3 linked regions of the Notamacropus eugenii genome follow. The protein of the gene in region 3 interacts with the protein of the main gene of each other region in a pairwise test. Links are inferred from orthologs where the notes say so. Each region holds a gene or a part of one and is shown on either strand. Other genes may lie near its edges.

Region 1 (10,247 bases), on a different chromosome or scaffold from region 3:
TTTTTAAGCAAAGAGTCAGCTCCATTTCCAGCTAAATTTTTATAAAAGGGTTAAAGGGACAAAGCAAAGGTGATCGAGGCAGCAGTATACATCGTGAGAACCCTAAGGTTACAGGTACACATGAGGAACACAGAGCAGCCAGTGGGATTTTCTTAAAGTATTAGGTCTGACCATGCCACTCCCCTATTCAAACTGGATCTAATAGAAACTCTTGTTTGACATTTAAAGTGCTCACAATTTGGCCCCAGTGTCCTTTTTATTATTTATTTATTCAAAAAAGCTACGGTCAAGGTGGATTTTCTTGTAATTCCTTGTATTTTGTTTCCTGATAATGCAATCACTCCTCCTCTCTGTCTCTGTGAATCCCTCTTTTCCTTCAAAATTCAGTCTAAGCACCAAATTTCAACAGGAAATTTCAACAGTTGGAAGCACTTTCTGACCCCCTCAGCTACTAAAGCCACCCCCAAATCACTGGACATCTGTAGCTATCAGTCCAGGGGTTGTATTTTGTTTCTTTGAATCTACAGGGCCTACCAAGAAGTAGGTGCTTACTAAATGCTTGATAAGTTGCCATTCTGCAAGATTATGTGGAACCCCAGCCCCCACACATACACAAATAACTAGGAAGAAAGAAGTGAGGAGTGGTCAGTCTGGAAGAGGTCAATTGAGCAGAAGCTTTTCATTAAAAGAAAAATTACTTTATTTAATAATAATTATAATAAAAAATAATTGTGCTTGGTAGAGTTTATGGTCGCAAAATCAATTCAATTTCAATTGATCAAATGGTTAGTATCCCTGTACTGTGCTGGTTACTGATTTTGAGAACTGGCCTTTGCCTTCAAGTAGGGTGTGTATGTGTATGTGAGGGAACTGACACATACAGAGAGCTGTGTTAGATCTAGAGAAGATGTCAGATACTGCAACGAGAGAACCGACAAGTTTAGTGAATTACTTAAAGTAACCTAGCTCTTTAGTAGCAGAGTTAAGAGGAAACCTAGGCCTCCATATTCAGTGTCTCACAGACAAAACACAAGGATTTGAACAGATAAGCTTTCATCCCAATCTGGGGATAAACAAATAATACATGCTGAGTGCATTAGAAAGGTACAAACAAAATCATTACTGAGACTCAAGAGGTGTGGGGGGCATCAGGAAAGGATTCCTGGAATGACATCTGACCTGGATGGGTGAGAATTCCAAGTGGGGGAAGGCAGGAAGGGAATTCTGCATGTAGGGAAAGGCATATGAGTTGGATAAGACTGAGTCTGGTTTGGCTGTACTGGGGAAAGGGCACTGGCATCTGGGGACCTGACTTTAAATCTCCCAATCCCTGACCTTGATTTGGCATTCAGGAGCTTCAGTCTCCTGATCTATACATGGGAACTAGACTAGATGATCTCCAAGGTTCCTTCCAGTTAGCTCCTATGATAGATGACAAGGAGAGTAAGTAGTACTTAGGGTTAAAGTTGAAAAGATCAACAAAATATACTGAAGACCTTGAATGTCTCACTAAGGAATGTGAACCCCGCCCAGTAGACCAATGGAGGTTATTGGGCAGAGGTTATGACATATGTATAATGAAGAGAAGTTTGACATAGCATGTAAATAATTGATTGGAAAACAAAGACTGGATAGCGGTGAAGACCTATTGGAGGCTATAATAAAAGTCAGAACTAGGCAGGTAGTATTGGAAGAAATATGAGTAGTTAGGTGACACAGCAGATATAAAGTGTTGGGCCTGAAGTCAGGAAGACTCATCTTGAAGACAACTCTGGGCAAGTCACTTAATCCTGTTTGCCTCAGTTTCCTCATCTAAAATAAAGTGGGGAAGGAAATGGCAAAGCGCTTCAGCACATTTGCCAAGAAAACCCCAAATGGGGTCAACAAGAGTCAGACCAGACAGAACAACAACTGAATGAAAGCTTGTATCTGGGTGATGACTTTGGAAATAAATGATACTGATGAGGTAGTGTTTAAAGGACTGGGGATATGAAGATGACCAAACCTGAGAGCTTAGCCATTTTATTTTAATAATAAAGAAATAAAGTGAGAACCCTGGTGTAATTAATGCATTCACCCCAACTAAGGCAAGGAGCCCTCAAGGGAGATGGGACTGAGTGATAGGAAGTTAACAGAGACTGGGTTGGGAAGGAGAGGAAAAGAACCTCTTTTATCAGAACTACATACTGCCCTGCCCCTCCCATCTAGTGAAGGAATTTGAAAATCACCCAAGTCAGTCCATTCACAGTCACCCTCCAGTCACCGCCTCAAAAACACACCACCAGTTAAATGTGACAATGTCACTATGGCAGGACTAAAACAAATTCTGGAAGAAAAACTACCACCTGCCTGCAACTGTGCTTGACTGTACAGTTTTTTTTCTAAGACGGAAGGGCTTGGTTAATTCTTTAAAAGTTCTCAATATTATTTGTCTGCAGTGTAGGGTACTTGTGAATTTTTAAAATTTCAACTGTTTTCAAACCTGAGTCAGTTTTATTGTTGAGCTTTCCAGGGAAGAAAGGCAGGACAGCTACATGAATGCTTTTAATGGTCAAGGAACAGCACAATATAATGAAAAGTTTCCAGGATTTGAGACTGGAGATAGTTGGGTTCAGATCCTACTTTGTTTATGGCCTAGCCACTTTTGGGCCTATTTCCTCTTCTTTAAAATAAATTAATATAGTGTTTGTAGTATATACTTCAAAGGCAGCTAGGTAGTTCGGTGGATAAAGTTCTGGGCCTGAAGGCAGAAAGACCAGAGCTCAAATCCAGTCTTGTGTGACCCTGGGCAAATTACTGTAACCTCTGCCTCAAACCACTGGAGAAGGAAATGACAAACCATTCCAGCATCTTTGCCAAGAAAACTCCATGGACAGCACTGGTGTGATATGGTCACCAAAAGTGGGACACTACTGAACAACAGTACATATCCCACAGGCTGCTTTGAGGATCAAATGAAATGACAGATAAAGCAACTACTGTTATTACTAATACAAAGGACTCCCAAAATTTTACCAAATGTCAAACTGTAGGCCAGAAAAGGCTTATAATCACAAAAACAAACAGAAAACCCTAACACTTTGAGTAAATTAGTTACTTTCAGCAGGGACTGTTTGAAAGTGTTCTGCAAAGATCTAAAGGTACAATATCAACTATCTAACTTGGGTTTCTAGACTGCTGGCACACGTTTCTCTGTAAACCTAGACATGCAAAGAGTGGGTCTCCAGGAAGGTGTTGGCCACACTAAGAGCCTATGCCGCTAAATAGGGATGAAGGAGAGGACACACATGACCACAGTCAGGTTGCCCTCCCAGAATAAGGAAGTTAAACATGACTCAAGAGCCCTTTTCGAAGTAAAGAAGACACTTTACTTCGAACTTCTCTTTGACAAGCGAAAGGAAGGATTGGGGGGGGAGGGGAGTAGCTGCTCCACTAGCTACCACTGAACTACATTGAAAGTCCACTTTGAAACTTGGTCTCGACCCACTAAGCTTATCATCTCCTAAAGCTATCCTGCAAAGTAGGGGAGAACCAACCAGTCATCTCTGATGGATAAAGGGGGTTGAGATGGTTCTGAACCTGGAGTTGTCAGGTCTACAAGGCACAACGTCCCCTTATGAATCCCTGGATCCAGTCTCCCAGCGCTGTCCTTCCCTCGACAGCTCAAATGCCCAGAGCCGAGATAACCGGGGCTGCAGTTAACTCTAATCAAGCCTGGCAGTCTGCAAAGAATAATAAACCCTAGAGCATCGGCCAAACCTAACGCGATAATGGCAACAAAGGCACCAGGCTGGTGTTCCCCCGCCCCTCCCCGCCAGGCACTTCAATTGGTTGGGAGACCCCCCTCCCAGCACAAACACACCCTGATAATGCCAGGGAAGCCAACAGTGACCTTGGCACGTCACGTCACCGCCCTGGGCCTCGGTTTCCTCCTCTGTAAAATGAAAGGATTGATGACCTAGAGGTCCTCCAGCTGTACGACTACGGAGACCCGCTCCTTCCCCGCTCCAGACCGGCATTAAACGGCTCGGGGCCAGGAGGGCTGTCAGACGTCCGCCGGGCACCTGCCGGGCGGGCACACGGAGTCCTCCCCAGGGGGAGAAGGGCGACGCTCGCCGCTGTGGATCTCCCCCCGGGTCAGAGGTCGGAGACCGCGTGAGGTCCGAGTGACCCCCGGATGACCCCCCCGGGGGAGGGGGCCTAGGCCGGGGCCCATCCCCGGACCCCCTCTACGCCGTCCACGCGCACCCGCCAGCGGCGCTCCTCCACCCGCGGCTCTGCCCGAGGCTTACGCAAGCGGCGCAGCCAGGCGCGTCCAGGGCCCATTCCTCAAGCCGCTTGCGCCCGGGCGGAGCGAGCAGGGCCCGCGGGGAGGGGGAGCGCCCATCTTCCGCCGCCGGCGCAGCCTGCCCAAGACTCACCGGCCGACGAAGTTCTCGAGCACCGAGCTCTTGCCGGCGCTCTGGCCGCCCACCACGGCGATCTGCGGCAGGTCCAGGTGGCAGCTCTGCCCGATGGAGCTGAACGCGTCCTGCAGCTTGTTGACCAGCGGGATCAGCTCCTCCATCCCCCGGTTCCCCATGGTGGCGGCGGCGGCGACTCCCCCCTCGCGGCCCGCGAGACCTCCCCAGCCTCCCAACGACCCTGCCCCGCGCGCCGGCGGTTGCTCCCCCGGGACTCAGCCCAACTCCCGACTCCAAACTTCGACTCACAGTCGCCGCCTCATCCGGTTCTCAGGCGACACCCGACCCAAGCGACCTCCCGCCCCTTACGCAACCGGGGCTGGCCCTCCCAGCCGAGGCTTCGCCCCAAACCCTTCAAACCACTGCCTACTGGCCCCGACTCCTGTCACTCTCGATCAAAAGCCAATGGAATAGAGGTACGGGCTTACGGATGATGGTTATGGACGAAAATGTCCTAAGCCCCTTTTCCTTTCTCGAGAATTCATTGGATAAAGGAACTGTCACTCTTCCCGAGACCCAATAGGCCGTGGAACCTGGTTGTCAACGCCGGGGGCGGCGTTTCCGGAAATTGCATGCTAGTCCCGCCTATTTTAAGACATCTTCGCATTCTCATTGGTGAGACTACCTGTCTGTCGGATTAGCAAACCAGTGATGTTAGCGGACTCCACCCACCAAATCAAATGTGATTGGGTAATACGTCACAGTAGCCCGATTCCTTCAGTTATTCCATTGGCCAGAAAAGCTGTCATACTATCTGTTAACTAGAGCAAGAAACGGGGCGGTGCTTTCTGGCTAAATTTTGTCTGTGATTGAGAAATGCATCTGTCGATCAATTTAGCGTTAGCTCTTATTTGTTAACGCTCAGACTCCTCGAAACAACGATCACTTCTAGATTTAGAAGAGCTCTCTGAGAAAATCAGCGTCCCCTGCTGGAGGGAATCAAGATTTCCTCCCAATGCTGCTTAATTAGTAATTATGACAAAAGAAATCTTCCGATTAGAACGGATGAAGATAAAGCTATACGGTTCAACTCCATACCCCAAGGATCCCTGGTTTTTGGGAGGTGGTCATTTTTCACCCTGCTGCACTGCTTTGGACGTCGTGGCCCCAGCAACCTTATCGTCTTGCAAGATCAGTTAAGCGTTGGTCCTCACCCCTCTGCCTCTGGGACCCCTCTGAATGGAAGGTGGGTGGAGAGCTCCTCCCAAAACCTCCATAGAGGGTTCCCAGGCCAGATATCTCTTAATTTCCAACCAAGCAGCTGTCTTTTGGATTTCTTCACAACTCCTCCCCTTTTCATTGTCCACCCTCCCTTAGATTATAAGCTCCTTGAGGGCAGGTCTTTTTCGTAATTGTATCCCCTGCGGTTTGCCTGCATATGTAATATTTATCAACTGAATGGCTATCCAGTCTTTGGCTAACAGCAGCAGTGAAAAGGAACCCATCGATTCCCAGGACAATCAGGCTGTGCGTGCTTAATGCTACATTCTAGAATCCTATCTATGGATGCCTTTTACCTAAGAATCTCCGGATTTATGGCTTCTAACGACCATGTTCCTCACGTTCCAGCCTCCTTTTCTAAGGCGGCAGGCAGCTTGTCACTGCGGAAAACTACAACTCCCAGCACAGCGCGCCTCCGTGACGTCACCGAGCTATGTAAAACAGGCTGTCCTAGCCGACTTCCCCATTTGACCCAGGATGGGATTCTCAGGAAGGGCGGAGTCGGAGAATAAATCAGGGCCACGTCATTTTCAGAATTCAGACAACGATGTTCCAGGCATTTTAAGTGTATTAATTTGCCGACTCCAGTTCTGGTGCCTCAAAAAAAAAAAAAAAAAGCGGGCCCTTCTCTGACCGCCGGGAAGCCCGTTGCCATGGCTCCGAGACGCCTTCCGCCTGCTCCGCTTGCCACGTGACCAGGTAGTAATATGGCGGCTTCCGGGGAGCCTCCGTCCACGAGGTGTCCAGAATCGACTGCCGCAGTAGCTGCTTCTGCTGCGGGCCCAGGGACCCGGGCCCCGGCAGCCCTGGCCCTGCGGGTGGTGGCCGCGTGCGGCCGCAGCAAGGCGCGGGCGTGCGAGCTGCACCTGCCGCACGGCACCGTGGCCACCCCGGTCTTTATGCCGGTGGGGACGCAAGGGACCATGAAGGGAGTCACTGCAGCGCAGCTGGATAGCCTGGGCTGCCGCATCTGTCTGGGCAACACGTACCACCTGGGCATGAGGCCGGTGAGTGCGCTGCTGGTGGAGGCGCTGACCTCTGGCCCGCAGTGGGGAAGGGCGCTGGGCCGCTGCGCCGGGACCCCCCCGGAGGCGGCAGCGAGCTGGGGGAGATGCTGACCGCTGGCCCTCGAGTGGGGAAGGCCCGCATTCAAGATCGGGTGCAGATGTGGGCAAGTCCCCTCACTTTTGCATGCCACGGGTTCCTCTTTACCGAAGGGTAAAATGTGGATGACAGTATCATGGGGAAGCACTTTGCAGATCTTAAGGCGCTATGTAATGAATGTTTTAGCAATGTTCAGTCGTGTCGACTCTTCCCCACCTCCTCTGGGATCTTCTTGGCAGAGATGCTGCAATAGTTTGCTGTTTTTTTCTCTAGTTCCTTTTACAGATGAGGAAACTGAGGCAAACATGGTTAAGTGACTTGCCCAGGGTCACGCAGCTAGTGTCAGAAGCAGAATTTGAACTCAAGAAGACGAGTTTCCTTGATTCCGGGGCAGGCATTCTTTCTACTTAACCCCCAGCTGAATACTAGGCAGTAGCTGTGTGGGGCAGTGGATAGTATCTGGCCTGGAGTCAGAAAGAAATAAGTTTAAATCCAGCCTCAGACACTTACTAGCTGTGTAACCCTGAAGGATCATTTAGCCCTTTTTGTCTCAGTTTCCTCATCTGTAAAATGAGTTAGAAAAGGAAATGGCAAACCACTCCAGTATCTCTGCCATGAAAGCTCCAAATAGTATTGGAAAGAGACAGATACCACTGAACAACAACAAATTCTTATTAGTGGAGTCAAAAAAGTCAGGGCACCTGGGTTTTAATCTGAAGCCTTTGGTACCTTTCCCTGCATTGAGCCTTAGTTTCCCTGGTGGTTAAACATGGGGGTTAGACTGTATTATTTTTAAATTGTCTTAATCTCTAATTTTAAATCTTCCTTTTAAATCCTCTCATCTCTAAGGCCTGTGAGGGATCAAGGGCTCCCTACTTTTGGACCCAAAGATGGGAATGGCTGAGGTGGGCAACCTCCAGATCAGGCTCACCCAGGGGTGGGGAACCTTCAGTTGCAAGGCCACATGTGCCCCTGTAGGCCCTTTGACTGAATCCAAACCTCACAGAACAAATCCCCTTAATAAAAGCATTTGTTCTATAAATCTTGGACTCAGTCCAAAGGCCACACCCAAGGACCTAGAAGGCCACACATGGCCTCAAGGTTGCAGATTCCCCACTCCCGTGCTTTTTCTGTAACAGTATAGGAACCTCTGTCCTGGTCTCTCACTTGTAGTGACTGAATCTTCTCTCCCAGGGTCCAGAGCTCATACAGAAGGCCGGTGGGCTGCATGGCTTTATGAACTGGAACCAAAACCTGCTCACGGTGGGTCTGGAACCCTTGGTGGTAGGGAGGTGGGACACTGGGAAAAGCAGTGTGTTTTAATGGAAAGGGCCCCAAACTTAGAGAGGAAGCCTGAATGGGCTCCTGACTCCCTGTTTGAGCCTCTTAAAGTTTCACTTTATAATATAAAAACAGGAAAAAATTATCTTTGAATTATCTGCTTCCCTGGGTTGTCTTGGAGAAGCATTTTGTAAACTTTAAAGCGCTCTAGAAATAGGAATTGCTGTCATTGTTCCAGGGGCTGAGAACAGTGAGGTGGAAAGAACCCCTGGATTGAGGATTAGATGGCCTTCAACAGGGCACACACTTTCTGTTGCTCAGTGTCCTGTGTCCCTTCACCCCCCAACCAGTAAAATGAGGGGTTTGGCTTTGATCATCTCCCAGTTTCTAGATCTGTCAACTTATTTTCTCAATGGGACAGTGGCAGATCCTTATTGAGGACCTGAGGTCAATAGGGAATGTCATCCACAGGACAGTGGTGGCTTCCAAATGGTGTCCCTGCTGGCCCTGTCTGAGGTGACCGAGGAAGGAGTGCGATTCCGTTCCCCATATGATGGAGCCGAGATCCTGCTGAGCCCAGAGAAGTCTGTGGAGATTCAGAATGCACTGGGTGAGCCCTGGATGGTGAAGAGGAGCTAGAGACTAGAGCTTCTGGCCTTTCTTCCCAGGAAGCTGACTTGGGATGGGAGTAGGGGGACTGGGGAGCAGAAGGTAGTTTGTAGGGGGAAGAATTTGAAAGTAGATACCCTAGTTCAAATCTCAGCTCTGACTGTGACTGTGGTTGTCATTTCTCCTCTCTGGTTAGCTGATCTGTAAAGTGGAGAATACAGTTCTTTCATTATTTACTTAATGGGCCCTTCCAAAGTGAAGAGCTTTGTAAGTCTTCAAGCTAGGTGGCAGTGTATAGAGTACTGGGCCTGGAATCAGCAAGAATTGAGTACAAATCCCAGCTCAGACACTAGCTGTGTGACCCTGGGTAAGTCACTTACCCTCGGTTTGCCTCAGTTGTATAATGGAGGTAATATAATAGCACCTACCTTGAAGGGTTGTTATGAGGAACAGATGGGATGATATGTGCCTGGCACATAGTGGAGCTGTATCAAATCTTATTCCACCCCTGCCCATGTAAATGTATTTATTTGTAAGACACTCAAAAATTTTTATTAATCACAGGGCTAAACTCTAGGCACATAAGGTCAAAAAAAAAAAAAGAGTACAATTTCTGCCTTCCAGGAGCTTACTGAGAGGTATGATATGTAGATACATATGATATAAGGTAGGGTGGGAAAATATTGACACAGTATATGAGAAGTTGAGAAGGATAAAATCACTTTCAGGGAAGAGCAGAGACTTGAGAAGGCATCAGAAAGCTGGCTTATTTGTTTTCCTCCTTTCTGGCTGATTTCTGGGTTGTTTTTTTTCTAGATCTTACCGTGTTTTAAGAAGAGGGTTGTCCTGATTGCATCCATCCCCAACCATCCTCCCAACAGTAGAGATTCTCTGACTTTCCCTCTCCCTTCCCCTTCTTTCCAGGCTCAGATATTATGATGCAGCTGGATGATGTGGTCAGCAGCACTCTGACGGGTTCTCGAGTGGAGGAAGCCATGCACAGGTCAGCGGTTTGCAAATCTTCATGGACTATAGAAATGTGAATTCTCATCATCTAAGCTGTGGTTCTCTCTCTCCCCCCTCCTCCTTCTAGCTCCTTGACCTCATCACAGCCTTTGATCCCACAGACCACCCTCTTCTCTCAGGATTTTCCTGACCCTGTTCTCTCCTGATTCTCCTCTCCCCCACTAACTGCTCCTTCTCAGTTACCATTTACCAAGGTGGCATCTGAGATGACAGAAGGGGACATATTATGTGAGAATTGAAAGAAGATTTAGCAACAGATTGGATGGGTGGGGTGAGGGAGAATAAAGGAAGGCACCGAGCTTGCCAGCTGAGGGAATTGGAGAGATGCCCCCCTTGTTCAGACCTCATCTAGCTGGTCTTCCTGCCTCAGGTTTTCCCCTTCTGCGGTTCCATGCTCTCTACGTTTTCCGAGGCAGTTTCCCAAAGGGTAGTTCTGACCCTCCTCTCTCTCTCTCTTAACTCTGTAAACTCCTCTTTCTGGCATTTAAAGGTCTTCATGAGCTGGTCTCTACTTTCCTTTCTTATTCTTCCACTTGTTTCCTT
Region 2 (9,798 bases), on a different chromosome or scaffold from region 3:
TTCATAGAATACTAGAGTTCTACAGGATGCTGTCAATCAACCAATCAACAAACATTTATTAAGCTTCAGCTATTCAGGAGGCATGGTTCTAGGCCCTGGGGACAAAGACAAAAGTGGAACAGTTCTTGCCTTTGAGGAATGTACTTTCTAGCCCAGACTGCACACATATACATACACACAACATACACAAAATTGATACAAGAAAATGGGGGTAACTGAGTAGACTAAAAAAGGTTTCATATAGAAGGCATCACTTGAAATGAGCCTTGAAGGAAACTAGGGTTTCTGCAAGGGTGAGATGAGGAAGCAGTGCATTCCAGATGTGAGGGACAACTAATTCAAAGGTAGAGCAAGACAGGAGATGGATAGACTATTGTGTATGAAGAAAAGTACGAAGGCCAGTTAGACTAGAAGAGAGAATGTGTGATGGAGAGTAATGTGTAACAAGACTGAAAAGGTAGCTTGGGATCAGGTTATAAAAGCCTCAAACCACCAAAAAGAGAAGTTTTTTTTGATCCAGAAATAACAGGGACTGGAATTTACCAAGTAGGGAACTGACATGGACAGAACCAGGCTTTAGGAAAATCACCTTGGCAACTATGAGAAGGATAAAGTGGGGAAAGACTTGAAAGAAAGGAGATCAGTTACAAAGGAGGTTATTACAAGAGTAGAGTGAGAGGTAACGAGAACCTAAACCAAGGCAACCTAGAACATATAGCTATATATTCCTAAAATATATACTGCCTAGGAAAGGATACTTTAACCAAACAGAATCATTTTTCCAAACTCCAGGTGCCTATATGGTAGCACTAACCATTTCTAATTGAATTTTGATGTTATACCTATTTAAGAGCCCTAAAAAGACCTAGATTGAAGCACTTTCCTAACAACAACCACAAAAACATGTTCAGTTTTTCAGGATATTCGTGAAGGCACAACCAAAGCAATAGCTAGATGGCCTAACTGCATAGCACACAGTGTACTTGACTGATGCAGAAAATTCCTAGCTTACCCCACTAATTCTAATCACATTATTTATCTTTGTGTCTTGGCAGAGTTTAAGTAAAACATCTGTAAGAACAATTAAAGTCTCTTATCACCCAATCATCTACCCACCCTGCAAAAAGAAAGCTTTTCTACAACATTTTGGAAATAAAACCAAATTTGCCTGAATGTGTCACTACCCTGTGCCAGAATCTAAAATTGCTGGCTGGAGTTCACTCACTGCAAGATAAATATCTCCCAGATGCATTCCATAATAAAGAGGAAGCAAAAAATCTTCCCTGAATTCATTCATGGCACACAGTGAAGTATTATCCACTCTGGAGGTGAATGATGAATAATTGTCAATAGGTTTGCATAAATCTTTCCGTCTTGCCAGAAAGTAGTTCTGCGTTCTCTAGGTATACACAGATGCAGGAACTTTCCAAGTTACAGACAGCAGTTTACCTCCATCCCATACTAATACAGACTCCAAAACTTGGACTATTTTATAACAGCCTTATCAACAAGTAGTTCTGGGTTACTTACCCCACCTGGTGGCCAGGGTGAGAAACTAACCGGCCCCTCTCAATACCTTTTCTTTCTCAGGGAAATCATGCCAGGGTACTTTCCCTTTTTTCTACCACAGAATCTCCTATGTGGAAAGGTCTTAGAGAAAATCTATTGCAACCAGTATTAAAAGAGGAATCTCCCCTCCATCATCTGTGTAGAGTGTTCATCTTCCATATCTTAAAGATCTATTGTGATGGTAAGCCCACTACCACCTCCAGAAAATGTTAAATGGGTTAAGAAGTTCTTACCTACATCAAACCCAAATCTGCCTAAAGTCAATTGCTATCAGTTGCTTCCATTTCTGTTCACTGGTGCAGACAGAACAAGTCAGGTTCCTGTACATGAAAGCCCAAGTCCAATTCCTGTGTATGAAAGCCTTAGAAATACTTTAAGAAAACGCAATAAATAAACAGTGGAATCTGGTAGTCACCATACATATACACATGCATACATACCTCCCTGATGATGATTCCATTTCACCCTATCCTAGCCAGAACACACCAGAATACTGACAAGTTCTAAGCACATTCTAGGAAGGACATTTACAGAGAGTGCCCAAAAAAGGGACAACTAGGAAGGAAAGACCTTAAATAAAACTATATAAGGAGCAGCCGAATGAACTAAAGATGTTTGGCCCAGAGAAGACAAGATGTATGGGAAACATGCCACTTGTTTTCAACAAATGAAGGACTGTCATATGGAAGACAGACAGAATTGTCCTACATAGTCCTGAAACTAGAAACAGTGGGCATAAGTTTCAGAGAGACAGATTTAGATTTGAAATAAGAAAAAGCTTCCTAAGAACAGAAACTAAGTAAAAAGCTAAGAAGCTAACTAAAAAATTTCCTAAAAAGGATATTTGATAAGTTTGGCATGACCTGCTCTTAAAGAAACCATAATGTCCAGGAATAAACACTTAATCAATGTTTCCCTTTCTAAATCTCACCACCCTTTGGAACCTTACAACATAGTACGGATATACATTAGATATGTATAGGTAGAAAGGAGTTAAAATTATCTTTGCTGATGATATATGGATAGTTTACTTGGAAAATCCTAGGAAATCTTCAAGGATACTAATTGAGACAATAACTTCAGCAAAGTTGCAGGCTATCAAGTAAATCCTACAAAATCAACAGCATTTCTACATAATAACAAAATGCAGGAAGCAATAATAGACAGGGAAGTTCTTTCCAGACATGCGTGTGCACGTGGAAACGCATGTGCCTTCTGACACGTGTGCACCTTCTGCCACACATGCACCTCTCGACACGTGTGTGCGTTTCAACACATGTGTGCGTTTCAACACATGTGTGCTGTAGCTGTGTGCGTGCCCATGTATGTGTGCACGTCCATGTGCATTTCTCTGCGCATGCACGTGTGTGTACATGTGGACACGTGCGTGCATGTGGACATCTGCGTGTGGACACACGTGTGCGCATGGACACACGTGTGCCTTTCAACACGTGTGTACCCGTGGACACGCACATGCCTTTCGACACACGTGTGCGTTTCAGCACATGTGCTGTAACTGTGTGCACGTGTGCGTGTATGCGTGTGCATCCATGTGCGTTTCTGTGCACGTGCATGTATGTGTGTGCATCCATGTGCGTTTCTGTGGGTGTGCGTGTGGACGTGCATGTGGACACACGTGTGCGCATGGACACACGTGTGCCTTTCAACACGTGTGTACCCGTGGACACGCACGTGCCTTTCGACACACGTGTGCGTTTCAGCACATGTGCTGTAACTGTGTGCACGTGTGCGTGTATGCGTGTGCGTCCATGTGCGTTTCTGTGCACGTGCATGTATGTGTGTGCATCCATGTGCGTTTCTGTGGGTGTGCGTGTGGACGTGCATGTGGACACACGTGTGCGTGTGCACACGTGTGCGAGTTTCAACATGCATGTGAGTTTTGACACACGTGTGAGTTTCGACACGTGTGCATGTGCGTGTGCGTGCATGTGTGCATGTATGCGCTCGTGTGTAGGTGCATGCCCGTGTCACTGAGTTCGCAGCCCTCCGCAGCAGACACGTGCGTGACTGACTCCTCCATACCCCACTCGGGGTCTTCCTGGCAAAGCCACTGCCTCCCCCCGAGGCAAGGCGGGTGCGGTGATTGGGGGGTCCGTGTGGGGCGACAGCAGCACGGGGACAGCCTGGGTCCCGGGGGGAGCACCCCACTTGGCGAGCCTGGGGGAGGGGGGTGGCGCTGTGGGGAGGCGGGCTCCCAAGATGTTGAGCTCTGTTTAGGACACACGCCTCACAACGTCGGGTCGGAAGCGGCCCGCAGGCAGCTGGTGCCCGAGGCCGGAGCTCCCGGGGGAGTAGGGCAGGCTCTGGAAATCCACGGGAGCCACAGAGATCATCACGGGAGACGTCGTGGGAGAAGAGAGGAAGGTCAGCCTGGGAGACAGAGGAGCGGTCCGAGGGGGGGGGTGGGGGGCGCGGGTGACACAGGACGCATGCGCAGAGGGCTCAGCGCGAGCCTGGGGCCACGTGACCTGGCCGCTACCCACCCACAGCCCCGGCGAGCCGGCGTTACTATGGACGCGCCGCGCGCCTCTGCAGATTTAGATCGGAGGGAGAAAGAAAACCCTCCGCTGGCGCCGCCACCGGGCTGCTGGCGGCAGCAGCGTCCACCCACGATCGGGGCACCGGGGGAGCGGTCTCAAGAACCTCACTCACCGTCTCTTCTGTCCCCGATATTGCACCTCCCCGTCACTGTTCGACTCGGTCGCCATCTTTGTAATCAACCTCAGCCTCCCCTCCCGCCCACGGCCCCGCCTTCCGCTCCTCCTTATTGGCTCATAGTCTCGAGCCTCTTGCAGGGGATTGGCTGAGGGTGGGCCGCTCCTGAGCCGCCCTTCCCATTGGTCTATTCAAATCACCAACCGCCCCGCGCTAACGTGGGGCTCAGGTCTAAACCTGCCTGGGCTCTAAGCGCTCCTGGCGCCCGCCTTGAACTTGAAGCCGGAAATGCCCACGAAGGTGGATAACGTTTGCTGAAGCAATAATCCTATTTGGGTTTCTCTCCCACTTCTCTTGTGCCACCCAAATTAGTACGAATTCCTTCCCCTGGCGTTTTGTCGTTCAGCACCTATTAGGCACCTACTATGTGCACGACTCTGGGGAGTCAGAGAAGAAAATGACACGTGACCAGCCCTCACAGAACTCAAGTACGATAAGTGACCAGACGGACAGAGGGACGTGTAGATCATCTTCCACACGCACCCTTTCCGTAGAGGCAGCACGGTGCCTGGCACACAGTAGGGACTTCATAAAAGTTGCTGAATGTCATTGGAAAATGTGCAGATAAGGAAACAGAGAGGGCACAGGAAGCATCCCGAAAAGGTGCCAAGCCTATGTGCCAGGCGCTCTGCTGGGTGTTGAGAATACAAAGAAAGGCCAAAGGGTGGAGCTGACACTCAGATAATCGGGACAAATTGGAGAGGATCTCGGAAAGAAGTCACTGAGGGGTGTGAGAAAGGAGAGCGCTGGGGGCGTGGAGGGCAGACAGGGCCAACGTAGGGTACCTGGAGGAGAGAAAGCTGCAAGAAGACTGGAAGGGGCCGGGTTAGAATGAGGGGCTTTAACAGCCAGACGGAGACTTTTCTGTTTGCTCCCACAGATAATTTATTAAAGGGGGGGAGGGTGGTGACATGGTCAGACCTTCGCTTTAGGAAGAACACTTCTCTAGTGGAGTGAAAGAAAGATGGATGGGGGGGGGGGGGGAGACCAGGGAGAACAAGCAGGTTATTGCAGTAACCCAGATGTGAGGGGATGAGGGCGCATCCTGGCACCTGGATGGGGTCAGTGCCAGAGGAGGGAGGAGGGTGTATAGAGAGATACTGCAACTCTCTCCCCCTCCCCACTTATTCTCCTTAGAAAGGAGATATTAAAGGGTGGAGGGAGCTTCCTCCTTACCTCAATCCACTGTCTTGAGTTTTCAATGTGTAAGCAAAATTAAATAATATTTTACTTGTTTCAAAACAAGTCTGTCCTAAAGCATGTATAGGACTTCATTGTCAAGTGTAACACCCCTTTTCTGGACATCACCAGGCAAATGTGGTATGAATGATGGTAAAGCATTTTCTTCCTCCTACCTCCCAGCTACCCCTTCTTATACCAGTACAAGACAGGAAATATCACCCAGTCTGAAGACTGCAACTGGAGATGGAGAATTCCATGAAATTTCAGAACTAGAGAGAGAGGAAGGGTAAGGGAAATTTTTATATCCAGGTAGAAAGCAGAGAGATGAGGGGAACACATTAAGAAGCTACCTTCAGTTAGAGGGGCTTAGTGATAATGTGCAGAGCACAGAGAACCAGAAGCTTCTTTCTTAAATTTGTGGATTGAATTGTTGTTATTCAGTCATATCTGACTCTTCATGACCTGGTGGACCATGGGGTTTTCATGGCAAATATCCTAGCATGGTTTGCCATTTCCTTCTCCAGTGGATTAAGGCAAACAGAAGTTAGGTGACTTTTCCAGGATCACACAGCTAGTAAGTGTTTGAGGCCACCACGTTTGAAGTCAGGCCTACCACTCTATCCTTTGAGCCACCTCACTGCCTCTTTAATGGAAATCTTTTTTCTCTCTTTCCCCCAAGTCTGGGTAAAAATTGTGATGCTCTTAAGTTTGGACCCCCAGAAAGCTCCACGGCTTGCCTCAGAAATTCAGACTAAACTTTTCTTCTCCTTCCCAGACTAAATACCTTAAGTTAAATGTACTTATTGACTACTCCCTTAGTCTGCTTTTCATTTCTTACTTTACTGATGACTTTCATCCTTTTATACCACATTCATTTCCTGATACACCTCTCCCTTGTAGCAAAAGAAAATAGTTCTGCAGAACAGAGTGACAAAACAACTCCATCTTGAGCATTCTATACCTACAATCTCCCACCTCTTTGTCAAGAGGAGGGAAGCGTTTCTTCATCTGTTCTCCCAAACCAGGACAGGTCATCATAATTGATCTCAGTTCAGCTGCTTTTCAGGGTTGTTTTTGTAATATGTAGCTGTCATTTATGTAGCACTTTGCAGTTTGTATTATCTCATTTTGACCCTTACAATAATCCTGGGAGATAGGTGTTGTTATTATCCCTACTTTACAGGTGAGGAAACTGAGACAGAGGCTAAACAACTCGGCCAGTTTCACACAAGCTAGTGCCTGAAATAGGATTTGAACTCAGGTCTTCCTGATGTTCTATTCATGGTACCACTTAGGGGCTGTTAACATACACACAGGATTGGTCCCCTAAGTTTAGAGTGTATGCTAAAGGGTGCTAAGCCTGTACAAGCTTTCAAAACTTGTATAAATTGTATCTCTTCATGCTCCCCAGCCCGTATACACTCTGAATTCCAAATCTGAATTCCAATTCAGAGGCATGAATTCTCTAAAAATCTTAACATAAGAATAGCTCCTATCCCCATCCTAACCTCTACTGGATCTACTTTCCTTCTCAGCATGGCCCCAAAGGTGTCACTCATCATTTACTAATGAGTAAGGAATTTACTAATAGGAAATTTAAAGTAAAAGTCAACAAGTGGCCTAAGGAGCCTCAAGCCTCTTCGGGTAGAAGCTGTTTCCATTCCACACCCTCTTTCTTTTCTAGCCCCTCTTCAGAGAACAAGAACAAAAGCTCCCAGAGGTCTTTTCCATTTGGAACCTATGTCCCAGGACCCCTCAAGCTTGGGGCTCATGCAGTTCAGGTCTGAGCTCAGGAGATGTTACCTCCACCTAGAGTTTACTCCCAATGCCCATATTTGTGGGGAACTGGGGTACCCAGTTCCTATACAAAAACTCAAGGTAACCAAATCCACATTGGGTATTAGCCTTTATTCACCCAACATAAAATGCAAAAGACTTAAAGACTCATTTGTTGTTGAGTGATTTTGGTCATGTCCTAGTCTTTGTGACCCCATTTTGGGCTTTCTTGGCAAAGATATGGTATGGAGTGGTTCGCCATTTCCTTCTCCTTACAGATGAGGAAACTGAAACAAACAGGATTAAGTGACTTGCTCAGGATCATATAGTTAATAAGTATCTAAGACTGGATTTGAACTCATAAAGAGGCTTCCTGATTCCAAGTATGATGTTCTACTGACTGAGCCATATAGCTGCTTAAGGACTCAGACAAGCCCAGGAGCTTTCAGAGAACTCACAGGAGTCCATCATAAAGTATTCAAAGAAGTTTCCCTCAGGAGGAAACAAAATTGGTGTTGACAGCAGTCAGACAACCAGCATTTATTAGGCACCTACTATGAGCAGACATTGTGCTAAACCCTGGGGTTACAAAGAAAGCCAACAAAAAACAACAAAAAAAAACAGTCCCTGCTCCCCAGAAATTCACATTCTAATGGGCGAGACAACATGCAAGATAGGTCTAGGATAAACTGAGTCATCTCAGAGAGAAGGGAAAGGCTTTTTGCAGAAGGTTGCAGCTGAGACTGAAGGAAGCCAGAGAAGCAGAGGCCAGATGAGGAGGGAACAGTGTTCCAGGTATGACAGAGTAGTGGAACCAGTCAGAGTTGGGAGATGACAGTGTTAATGTGTCAGAACAGCTGGGAGTCCAAGAGTCCCTGGATCACAGGCTAGGAGGAGAGGAGTAAGATATAAGATAACTGGAAAGGTAGAAAGGGAAGAGGTTACAAAGAGCTTTAAAAGCAAAAAAAATTGTTTTTGTTTTCTGGATTTTTTTTTTTAATTTGATCCTGGAAATAATGGGAAGTCACTGGTTTTAGTGGGTAGGGAGGATTAAGAGGGAGGATGATATGATCAGACCTTCAATTTATTTAGAAAGAGTAATTTGTCCACAGAGTAGATAACAGATTGGAGAGGGGAGAGACTTGGAACTATTCTGATAGTCAAGTCATGAAGTGATGAGTCCCTAACCTAAGATGTAGTAGTTAGTGTCAGAGGAAAGAAGGGGGACTATATGAGAAAAGTTGCAAAAGCAAATGACACCTAGATTGTGAGCCTAGCTAGGTGAATAATACTGGGAAAGTTCAGAAGAATGGAAACTTTGAGGGGAAAGGTAATTTCAGTTTTAGACATGTTGAGCTAAATTTGTCTTTGGGACATCCAGTTTGAGATGTCTAATAGGCAGTTGAAGATATATGACTAAAGGTCTGGAGAGAGGTTTGGGTTAAACAAGTAGATCTGAGATTCATCTACACAGAGATGATAAGTGAATCCATGGGAACTGATGTAATCACCCAGTGAAATAAGGAAAAGAAGAGAGCACAGGACAGAGCACTGGGGAATTCCCAGTTAGTAGGCGTGACCTGAGCTAAGATCCAGCAAAGGAGAAGGAGCAGTCACATAAATAGGAGAAGAACCAAGAGACAGCCATGTCACAAAAACCTAGGAAGAAATATATGGCCTATGGTGTCAAAATCTTCAGAGACGTCAAGAAGGATGAGGACTGAGAAAAGGCCGTTAGATTTGGCAATCAAGAGATTATTAGTGACTTTGGAGAGAGAAGTTTCATTTCAAAGAGTTAAGAAGGGAAATGAATTAGGGATGGCTAACAGGCAACACTATAATAATTTGGTGAATCCTTAGCTCTCTAACAGGGTCCTACACACATAGTGCCCCTGTGGTTTGGTCTCCCATAAACCACACTTCAGGGCCTGCTGGAGAGGTAACCCTCTTCCCATTAGGCCTATGTTATGTGTAATAGAGAGGAGTGGGAAGGCAATAAGGTTCCTATCTCTTACACCCACCATGTTGTATGCCTGCCATGACTTTAAATCTCCTTGCTGCTTCTATGGCCAGAAACATATGGAAGTTCTTTCTCCAATAGACACACTATTCAGAATTTGATCTAAGGGTTGCTGTTTGTTGTAGAAATCCCCAAGGCTGACTGGTACCACCCAAGAAATCTAACTCTTTGGGCTAGAAGACTAGATTCTAGAATTATGCTTCCTAGGAAATCAAGATTTTCCATCTTCAACACAAAATGTTAGAGTCCAGAAATATAGTCCATAAACTCTACTGTCAGACCTTATAGACAAATATGAATTTATGAGACAGCCAGATGATTCAATGGATAGTCCACTGGACCTAGAATCAGGAAGACATGAGTTCAAATTGAGCCCCAGACACTAACTATGATCCTGGGAAAGTCACTTTAACTCTGTCTCCATCCGTTCCCTCATCTATAAAATGAGGCTAATAATAGCACCTACCTTCCAAGGTTGTTGTAAGGATAAGGAAATAATATTTCTAAAGTATTTT
Region 3 (9,607 bases):
GATACATTAGTTTTACAGATGAAGAAATTGAAGGTCAAACAGTTACAAAAGCAGGCTAAAAATTCAAGTTTCCCCACTCTCTGTCCGGAACTCTTTCCATTATACCACTTGGCCTTCTTTCCTAGGGTTACTATTCACCAAAATGAATGTCAAGTTTCCTAGAGTTTGGACTTCAATATAGGAATTTGGCTGAAAATAAGATCATAAATCTAGATAATGGAAGGGACTTCAAAGGCCATCTGATTCTCATATCTATATATCTACCCGTTTTTCCTGAGCTCCAGTCTGTCATCACCAACTCCCTTTTGGACATCTTAAACTTTGGTTGCTGAGTGCAGAATGGATTGAAGCATGAGTAGAGAGGCTTTAGGAAAACCAACTGGCACATGCTAGGCATTTAATAAATGTTGATTGACTGTTGCAATAGTCCTGGCAAATGGTAAGGAGGGCTTGAACTAAGATGACTGCTATGTAAGTAGAGAGAAGGGGACATAGAAAAGAGATGTTGTGGACACAGGAACAATAAAATTCACCCACAGATCAAATTTGTGAGGATGAGTAAGAGTCAAGAGTTGAAGCCATGAATCTGGGTGACTGGAAAAACAGAGATGCCCTTATCTAGAAAAGTTTGAAAAAGGAATGAGTTTGGGGAAAAAGAATTACTTTTGACCATATTGAGTTTGAGATGCTTACAGGACATCCAATTCATTTCAAGATGTCCAAAAGACAATTAGTGATGCAGGAATGAAACTCAGGAGACAGACAAAGCTGGATATAGATGTGGGAATCATTTGTACAGAGATAAGTGAGCAAATGAGAGTTGATGAGATCAGCAAGCATGTTAACATAGTGAGAAGACAAAATTGTTCAGGGCAGAGTCTTGGAATGAATAAAGAACCAGCAAAAAAGTCTGAGGAGTAATCAGACAGGTAGGAAGGAAAGAGGAGAGAACAGTTACAGATACCAGGAGTAATTGATGATCAACAGCCTAAGTACGTAGAGAGGGATGAAGGAAGCACGATAGTGATTGAGAAAAGGTCATTAGCTTTGACAGTAAAGAGATGATTTCTGACTGGGGAAAGTAATTTCATTTGAATAATGAAAATAATTGAGGCTGTGAAGGGTTTAGAAGACAGCAAAAGTAGATGAAGTGGAGGCATCTAATATAGATGGCTTTCCCAAGGATGGTAGGTGAAGGATTTTTTGAGGATAGGAGAAACAAAGGTAGATTGCAGGGAAGGAATATATAAGAAGAGATTGAAGATTAGAGAGAAAATAGAAGTGATAGAGGGGGCAATCTGCTGTTTAGAATCAAGAATGCATACATGTAGAGAGGGTTTTCTTGGCAAGGAGAGAGGCCCTCTTCATCCTACAGTGAAGCTGGAGATAGTTGAAGAAATGGCAGAATGATGTAAGATGAAGAGAAGATGAAGGAGTTTTTTTGTTTAATGGCCTCAATTTATTTGGAGATATAATGCAAGCTCCTTATCAGAGAAGATGCAGGAGACAAATAGGTTTTGAGTAACCTCTTTGGTGCTCTACTCACTGTGCCACCATGTTGCTCCCATTTTCTTCTTCTGATACTCTCCTCTCAAATCTACTTATCCAAACCTAACCTTTGCCTTGACTTAGAGTCTTTAATCTTCTATTGTATGGTCTCAAAAACTGGAAGTCCTTTAGACAGCCAAGCTCAAAATCTAGGTGTCATCTTCAAATCCTTACCCTCATGTCTCTCACAAATGCTCCCTTTTCTCCTCTGACACAGCCAACACATTGGTACAAGCCCTTGTCACCTCATACTTGGACTCAAGTTCTCATTCTGACAATACCAGTGACCCTGGAGAAGTCACTTAATCTCTCAGTTCCTCAAGCAATGTTCGAAGACCATAAATTGCAAACGAGGTGACCATCTTCATTGGCAGAGGAAGTTTCCTATACCACTGAAATTACAGGTTCCATCCTTCCAAAATGTAATTTGGCAATTTCATGAAGTAGCATGTAAAAGATTATTTAAAGTATTCTAAAATGAAGCACTCAGAAAGACATATAAGACATGTATTACAATAGCATTGAAATCAAACAGAAACAATTTCTGGGAGCTGCATAGTGACAAATTAATATTATCTATGTTGTATTGTCTTTTTATTCATTTTGTTAAATTTTCTCAATTACATTTAAATCTGATTCTGCAGCCTTCCAGCATGAATTTGACACTTCTGATGTATTATACAGAAGCAACTGCCAATAAAGTTCTATTACCAATGACTATCTCATGATATGGAGGTAACCCCCCATTCATGAAGACTATATCAGTTGAATGAAAGCAGTGGCTGATCAGAGGATGATAAATTTATTTTGAAAGGATTTTGAAAGTAAACTTTTCCAATCTGTTAATTTTACACATAAGGAAACTGAGACCCAAAGAGGTTATATGACTTTCTCAAAGTCATGTAAGTACTAAATGGCAGAAACAAGATTCAAACGCAGGTGCTCTGGCACCAAATTCAGTTCTTCCTGTGGTACCAACAAAACCAGAAAGACTCTGAGTAGAAGAAACAGACTGTCTATTGAACAAGGAAATGCTTAGCTGTTTGGGGAGGCTCAGCACCTGAATGTTGGTGAATTTTGGAATCTTAGAAACTCAGCAAATAGTCTACCAATGTGTAGAAGGGTCACAAACTACATCATGGAAGGAGAATGTATAATTATAGAATTATATATCTTTTGAAGTATTGAAATATACATAAATAAAGCCTCATTATATGTCTCTCTGCCAGACAACTATACTTCCTTTTCAAGTAAAACAAATAATCAATAATGCTAATCAAGGGTTATCTATACCACTGACATCATCAAAATGAAAAATCTATTATCTTCTTTAAAATTTTCTGAAAAATCTTCCAACTAAAATTTTCTATTTTTTAAAAAATCAGCTACTTCAGACTTATTATAACAAATCCATTATAATGCCACTATGATGGATTTTTATTTGGTAGCTGTGAATAAATTGTTTAAATAAAGTACTGACCATTTAAAGTACAAAAAAGACCCTCTACCTGAGCCATCAAAATAATGTCATAGTAATATATAATGGATAACATAAAAGACTCCACTTTTCCAAACTAATCCTGCCAGTTTTCCCTTCTACACAATGATATTTACTATAAAATAAGAAAACAACACTTGCCCAAAGCTGTTTATGGAAAGTTTCACCCACACCCAATGGGCCTGATAATTATAAAGAGAGAAGACAAGTCTCTCCACATACCACAACCATTTAATTGCCCTTATTTTCAAGTGGTCATTTAAGAATCAAAAGGAAGAAACAATCAGGAACAAACATATGTACAAAAGTCTTGGGCAACTAATTAAGGGTTGGAGATGCCCCAGTTCAATCTCATGTCAGCTAAGGAGTAGCACTCATCTAATGAGAAACTGAAGCTGAGCTTAACTTCTTATAAAGATGAATATGTGTGTGGTCCAGACCACGCACACCAAAACCTCTTCTGGGCTAATTATTTCAGTGGAGGGGGGGGGAGAAAAGATTTCTGGCTTGGGGGCTTTTAATGACATACAATAATACAAATATTGACTAAAAAACTACTCTGCACTGGACACTGTCAGGGATAATAGTTTTTAAAATGAAATTAGTGTTTTTTTCTCTTAGAAGGCTTGCAATACAGCAAGGAGATAAGAAATATCAATAGAAATAGGGATGATACAAAACATTACACGATAAATACCTCAAAGAAGTAAAATACAAAGTGCCATCTGAGGGCTCAGGGAAAGGTCGGGGGAAGGTGGTATTTGAATTGGATCTTATGGCACCTACCAAGTTTTCAAAAATGCTTTCCTCAAAAGCAAGCCTTCAAGGAAGGGAAGACAAATCCCCAATGAAACTAGGGTTGGAGTGGGGTGTGACCAGCTTTGAAAGGACCACACAGCTAATGCCTTCCAGACCCCGAAGTCCAGGAGTCTTTCTGCTACATCGCTCTGCCAGTTCAAAGATGGGTAGGACTTGAAGTATTGAACTAATTAAAGAATTAGTTCAGTGCAGGAGAGGGAGGGCTTTCTGGACGAGGCTTCTCAGCCTACTTACCCACCCTACAAGGTGGGGAGGTGGAGGTCTGGGGATCTCCCATCCTGCCAGCAGCGGACACTGGAGCTTGGAGCGGGGAGGAAAAGCGGAATTGTAATAAAGATCATCACAGCAAACAATAGCTAGCTAGGGAAGAGCTGATCCAATGCACGCTACCACATCCAGGGCCCAAGGCATCCACGAACACGACCCCATCCCCTTCCAAGTCCCTTCTTCCGCCCCTCCCCGAAGCTTCTGACCCACGCCCCGCCGGTCCTTCCCGGACTCCTCGGAGCCCGGCGGCCGAAGGTCGGTGAGGAGGGTCCTTGGGCAGGCGAATGAGTGGGTGCCCTCGGAAGGAAGCAGCTGCCCACGCTGGGTGCCCCCTCCCCACGCTAGGTAGGCCCCGACGGGAGGGTGGAGGCAGCAAGAGAGGCCGCCTTGGCTTTCTGGAGAACCCAGGACTCCCTTCACCTCCCGCACCGCCCAAGGCAGGAAGAACGCCCTAGCGATCCTCGGACACTTACTTTCTCGTGGAAGATGGACTCCATGTTTATTTGTCTGGAGCCAACGGCCCCGAGTCGAACCACCCCCCTCCGGCACCTCCCCCCGCCCCCCGCCCCAGTTCTGTCCCCATCCCCACCCCCACGCCCTAGCCCAACCCGCTCCGCCGCGCCCCGCCCACGTGCTCCCGACGCTGACCAATCAAACGCTGGAGATCCGAGTCTTGTGAGAAGCAAGTGGGAGGGGGGAAGGAGGGAGCGGGTCCGCGAAGAGCCCTTCCCTTGGCGTAATCTCCCACGTGACCCTCGCGGGGCGGCCCCGCCCCGTCCACTCGGCTCTTCCGGGCCCCTGCTGGTCGCGTTCCTGGAGCCTGCATCCTCTTTGGGTTTACGGGAGGACCTTTTGGACGGGGTCTAGCGCCAGGGGCTCTTCTCGGTCGTTTGACTGAGCTGGGTCCAGGCAGGCCAGGTGGGTCCTTAACCTTTCAGGATCTTAGGCTTTGGAGCCCGCAGGGGAAGGGCCGTAGAAATCCTGTGGTCCTACAGCCCTTGTTTACAGAGGAGGAAACTGAGGCCCGAACCGTGGGGGTGTGAAGGCTTCTTCCCCCGTCACCTTCACAGTGCTAGCCTGTGACAGACGAGGCTCTGGCGAGGGGTAGGGAGCTTGGAGTAGTTGAAGAGACACGGGACAGCTGGCTCAAAATGTGAATGAATTAGCTTAGACCTTCTCTGTAGTCATTGGGAGCTTTATTTGATGCAGAAGCAGCGGGCCTAAGACTTAGCAAGGAGCTAAATAAAGGCAATGGTATAGGAAGAGGACCAGACTTAAATAGGATGATTTTAGGGTTTCCTTGTAGGGGCTGTAGGTCTAGGGGAGGTCTTGCAAGATAAAAGCACCAGGTGAGGACTATGAATGACACGATAAGGAAATCCCATTCCCCCGGATGAGGGGTGGGGATAAGGAATTATATGGTCCAGGATAAGGGGAAGTTGTGGTAAGGGGACACTTTAGGGCACCCAGGGTTTCACAAAGTCAATATTATTTTAACTCTTAGGGCACTGTTCTATCTACCTCATTTCCCCACTCTACCACTAGGTAGGAGAATTCTTTCAGGGGAAAAGGGGTGAAGGTCGTTGTCTTCAGTAGCTGCTTCCTGCTGAACAGGGGCAAAGAGTCCACTTCAGGGGCCAGAATAGGTTGGGGGGGCAGGTGATCAACGTGGGATGCAGAATGCAGTGCCAACTGAGTCCAGGGAGGAGAGAGGCAAGACACTCGGGGTCATCAAGGTCAGGGTGGGTATCCTAAAAGTTACTGTGGGTGAGAAGACACAAACCAAACCAGGAGATTAAACAAGCACACGCTAAGTATAACTATGATTGAGTGAAATGACCAATAAGGGGGTCACAATGAAGGGAAAGAAGGGAGAGAAACCACAACCCCCAAGAGGAGGTAGGGAGAGATAAAAGGCTGGAGTGGATATAAATCCAAGAGGCTGCCCGTAGTACCCTTTGAGTGCTCAAAGGAAAAATTCCATGTAAGACCTTCAGGGAATATAGGGAAAGAGCAATGGAGAGTAAGCTAGTGTCCTGGGCATGATGGTGACACACCCAGCAATCACATACTCTGCCTTGCCCCACAGAGTTCTCTGTTTGAATTAAGGCTTTAGACTTCCAGTTGTGAGGAAGCAGATGGGATAAGAAATTCATGTTTGTGTTGGCAAGGAACTAAATATTACATAGGTAACTTTTATTACATAGATAGGTGATATATCGATTCATGTGTATGTGTGTGTCATTGTATATGTATATACACATATGTATGTATATTTTATATATATATGTACACGTACATATATGTATACAAATACAGTTTTTGTGCTAAATTCATAATATATACTAAACTAAGTGTCCCAAAATACTTTGAACTTTCGGGATACTATTACACACACACACACACATATATATATATATATATATGTGTGTGTGTGTGTTACTCACATACACACTACTGACTGTAAATTTTAAAACTTCTCAGTTTGAGTGGCATCACGCAACCAGAAGAAATACAGAAATTAGCATGGGCCAAACCTAGAAACAAGCAATTTCATCGTTTTGCCCCAGCTAAATGAAATGCATATGTATTTTAAACTAAGTAGTCCTCCAACTTTATTGCAGTAACCATTTATTAAGCACCTACTGTGTTCCTGTCTTCAAGGAGTTTACTTTCTACTGAAGATATATCATGTAGAAAGGAAGGGAAACAAGCATTTATTGAGAGCATCCTACGGGTCAAGCACTGTGCTAGGTGGTTTTCAAGTAGCATCTCATTTGATCCCCACTGGAGCCCTAGGAGGTAGGTGCTATTGTTGTAGTTTAACTACTTGCCCAGGGTTACACGACTAGTAAGTGCATGAGGCTAAATCTGAACTCAGATTTCACATTTTAGCTCTATCCATTGAGCCACCTAGCTTAAAGTTTGTAAAGTACTTTGTATGTCATATCATTTGATCCTCAACACATCTGTGTGAAGTATAAGGTGTGCTTATTTCCAGTTTGCAGTGAGGAGACAGGCTTAGAAAAATAACTTACCTAAAGTTCACCCAGCTAGTAAGTGTTTGAGACAGGATTTGAATTCAGTTCTTTCTGGAGACACATGGTATAAGCCTTGAAAGAAGATGAGGATTCAAAGAAATAAGTCAGGAGGGAGTTCATTGATTATTGAAATCAGTTCTATCTGACTCCAAATCCAGTACTCCACCACTTCACCTAACTGCCTCAGTGGTTACATATTCTTCACGCAGAATATGTAAGCAGGTGGGAGGTTGAGGAGGAAGAGAATATTCATTCATTACATTAAGGTTTAGGGAAGACTTCAAAGAGGAGACACTTGGAGTAAACCTTGAAAGAAGAGAAGTCAATAGGGAGTGCATGTTTGTGGTATTATGTGCAGTGTTTAGATAGGTAACATCAGGTAGTCCAACTGGACCAGAGTGAAGGGGAAGTAATAAAGAACAAGGCTGAAAAGTTGCCAAATTTTATTGTTTCTGTTGCCGCATTTCTTTACTATGTCTCCCTTCTTTTCATTCACACAGCAACTACCCTATTTGACCTTTTGCCTGAAAAAATGCAATAGCTTGAACCAATTATTCTCTGTCCTAAATTTCCCCCCACTCCAACCATTCTCCACAAAGCAACTAAAATTATTTTTCTAAAGCATAAATCTGACTATGCCCCTACTTGATAAACACTAAATTACCTTTCTGATCAAATAGAAACTGCTCTGTTTAGCATTTAAATGTCACTAGATCCTGGCCCTTTTTTACTTTCTATGACTTCCTATTTCCATACTTTTGTACTGGCTGTTTCCCATGGCTGGCATGCTCTCCCTCCTCACTTCTGTCTTTTGGGAGTCCCTGGTTCCTTTCAAGACTCAACTGGAGCACCGTCTTCTTCAGGAGGCCTTTCCTGGTCCTCCCCAGCTGCTGGTACCTTTTCTTCCAGGGTTACTTTGTGTCTGTTTTGTACATGTCTGGTTTATACCAGTGTATGTTCTAGTTATCTCCTAAGTAGAATATAAGCTTCTTGGGGCAGAGACTGTTTCAACTTTGTCTTTGCATCCCTAGCTCATTAGCATACATGTTTGTTGATTGAAGTTGAAATTAGATTGTGGAATGCCCTAAATACTAGGTTGAGAAATTTTATTTCACCCCAGAGACTACAATGTGTTGCTGGAAGTTTGCGAGTAAGGAAGTAGTTAGACTTAGGCTGAAAGAAATCTTTTTGCTTGGTTCAGAAATAAAAAAATCTCATTTTTCTCAAGAAGTCCTGGGGGCTTGAATTCAAATCCAGTCTCTGTCACTATCCCTTGTGACCTTGCCCAAGTCATTTAACTCCTCTGCTCCTCAATTCTCTGAAGGGATTGAATTAGATGATGTGGTTCACTTCTAGCTCTAGATCTATGATTCTGTGAACTGACTCCTCTTTAGAAGTGTTAATGAGTAATAAAATACCTCCAGATGAAGCCAGCTAGGCATTTACTTAATTATTGTGCCTGTTCTGTGTATAGCAATGTTCTGGGAGCAGGAGTGAATACATACAAAAGTGTTTATTCAATTGAAAACTACTTGATAATTTAGAGGGAGAAGCAAGACAGATACATAAAAAGTTAAAAAGCACAGCAAAGCAGTGGCAGAAAAGTACCAACTCAGGGGTGGGGAACCTTCGGCCTCAAGGTCACATAAATCCTCAAGTACTGCACTTTGGCCGAATCCAAACTAGGGTCCCCCACTGTCCTAATTTCTTCCATGGAATTTTTCTATTACTACTATTAATAACTAGCATTTCTATAATGCTTTATAGGTTTGAAAAGGCTTTACAAATATTTCATTTGATTCTCATAATCTTGAGAGGTAAGTGCTATTACTCCCATTTTACAGATTAGGAAATTGAGTCAGACAGATTGTGATTTTTCCAGGGTCACACAGCTAATAAACATCTGAGACCGAATTGGAACTCAGGTCTTCCTGACTCCAGGAGCAACATTCTATCCACTGTGACACCAGCTGTCCTTACTGGCAACTAAAGAGGTAGTTTCAAGTTGGGAAGTGGGACTGACCTCAGGAAACCTGGGTTACAGTGCCAGCTTTGCCATTAATTCACCATGGGAACATATGCAAGTCATTTTTTGGTCTCTGCTTCATCTATAAAATGTTAAGACAATATATAATTGCTGTAAAGTTCCCTCTAGTAGGTATAACTTTAAGACATTTTATATTCTTCATCTTATTGGTAGTACAGGGAAAGCACAATGACTTTGGAGTCCCAAATCCACTATTTAACTAGCCTTGTAGCTGTGGCAACCTGTGAGCCTCAGTTTCCTTATCTTTAGAGTGGAAGTATTCAAGCAGTTAACCAACATGTATTAAACTCCAGCTGTTCATAGAGCGCTTTGTTGGGCAGTGATACCAAATTTAGATATGATATGGTCCCTGCCTAGGTGGAGTTTATAATTGTGTGTGGGGGGGGG

What was found.
Region 1: the proteins of ATXN3 (region 3) and DNM2 interact in binary tests that used the Homo sapiens proteins (3 or more experiments, as listed by UniProt). The link is inferred for Notamacropus eugenii from reciprocal best matches to the Homo sapiens genes ATXN3 and DNM2.
Region 2: the proteins of ATXN3 (region 3) and ARHGAP19 interact in binary tests that used the Homo sapiens proteins (3 or more experiments, as listed by UniProt). The link is inferred for Notamacropus eugenii from reciprocal best matches to the Homo sapiens genes ATXN3 and ARHGAP19.

What each region holds. Positions count from the first base shown.
Region 1 is NC_092875.1:79,228,769-79,239,015, forward strand, and holds the start of DNM2 (dynamin-2), read right to left. Parts: upstream 4,743-10,247; 5' UTR 4,583-4,742; coding exon 4,422-4,582; intron 4,140-4,421; exon of another isoform or gene 3,893-4,139; intron 1-3,892. Other genes in the region: QTRT1 (queuine tRNA-ribosyltransferase catalytic subunit 1), read left to right, coding at 6,392-6,691, 7,983-8,051, 8,541-8,679, 9,603-9,681. UniProt on the Homo sapiens protein: Catalyzes the hydrolysis of GTP and utilizes this energy to mediate vesicle scission at plasma membrane during endocytosis and filament remodeling at many actin structures during organization of the actin cytoskeleton.
Region 2 is NC_092872.1:214,075,856-214,085,653, forward strand, and holds the start of ARHGAP19 (rho GTPase-activating protein 19), read right to left. Parts: upstream 4,351-9,798; 5' UTR 4,299-4,350; coding exon 4,243-4,298; intron 1-4,242. UniProt on the Homo sapiens protein: GTPase activator for the Rho-type GTPases by converting them to an inactive GDP-bound state.
Region 3 is NC_092878.1:38,406,699-38,416,305, reverse strand, and holds the start of ATXN3 (ataxin-3), read right to left. Parts: upstream 4,698-9,607; 5' UTR 4,630-4,697; coding exon 4,606-4,629; intron 1-4,605. UniProt on the Homo sapiens protein: Deubiquitinating enzyme involved in protein homeostasis maintenance, transcription, cytoskeleton regulation, myogenesis and degradation of misfolded chaperone substrates.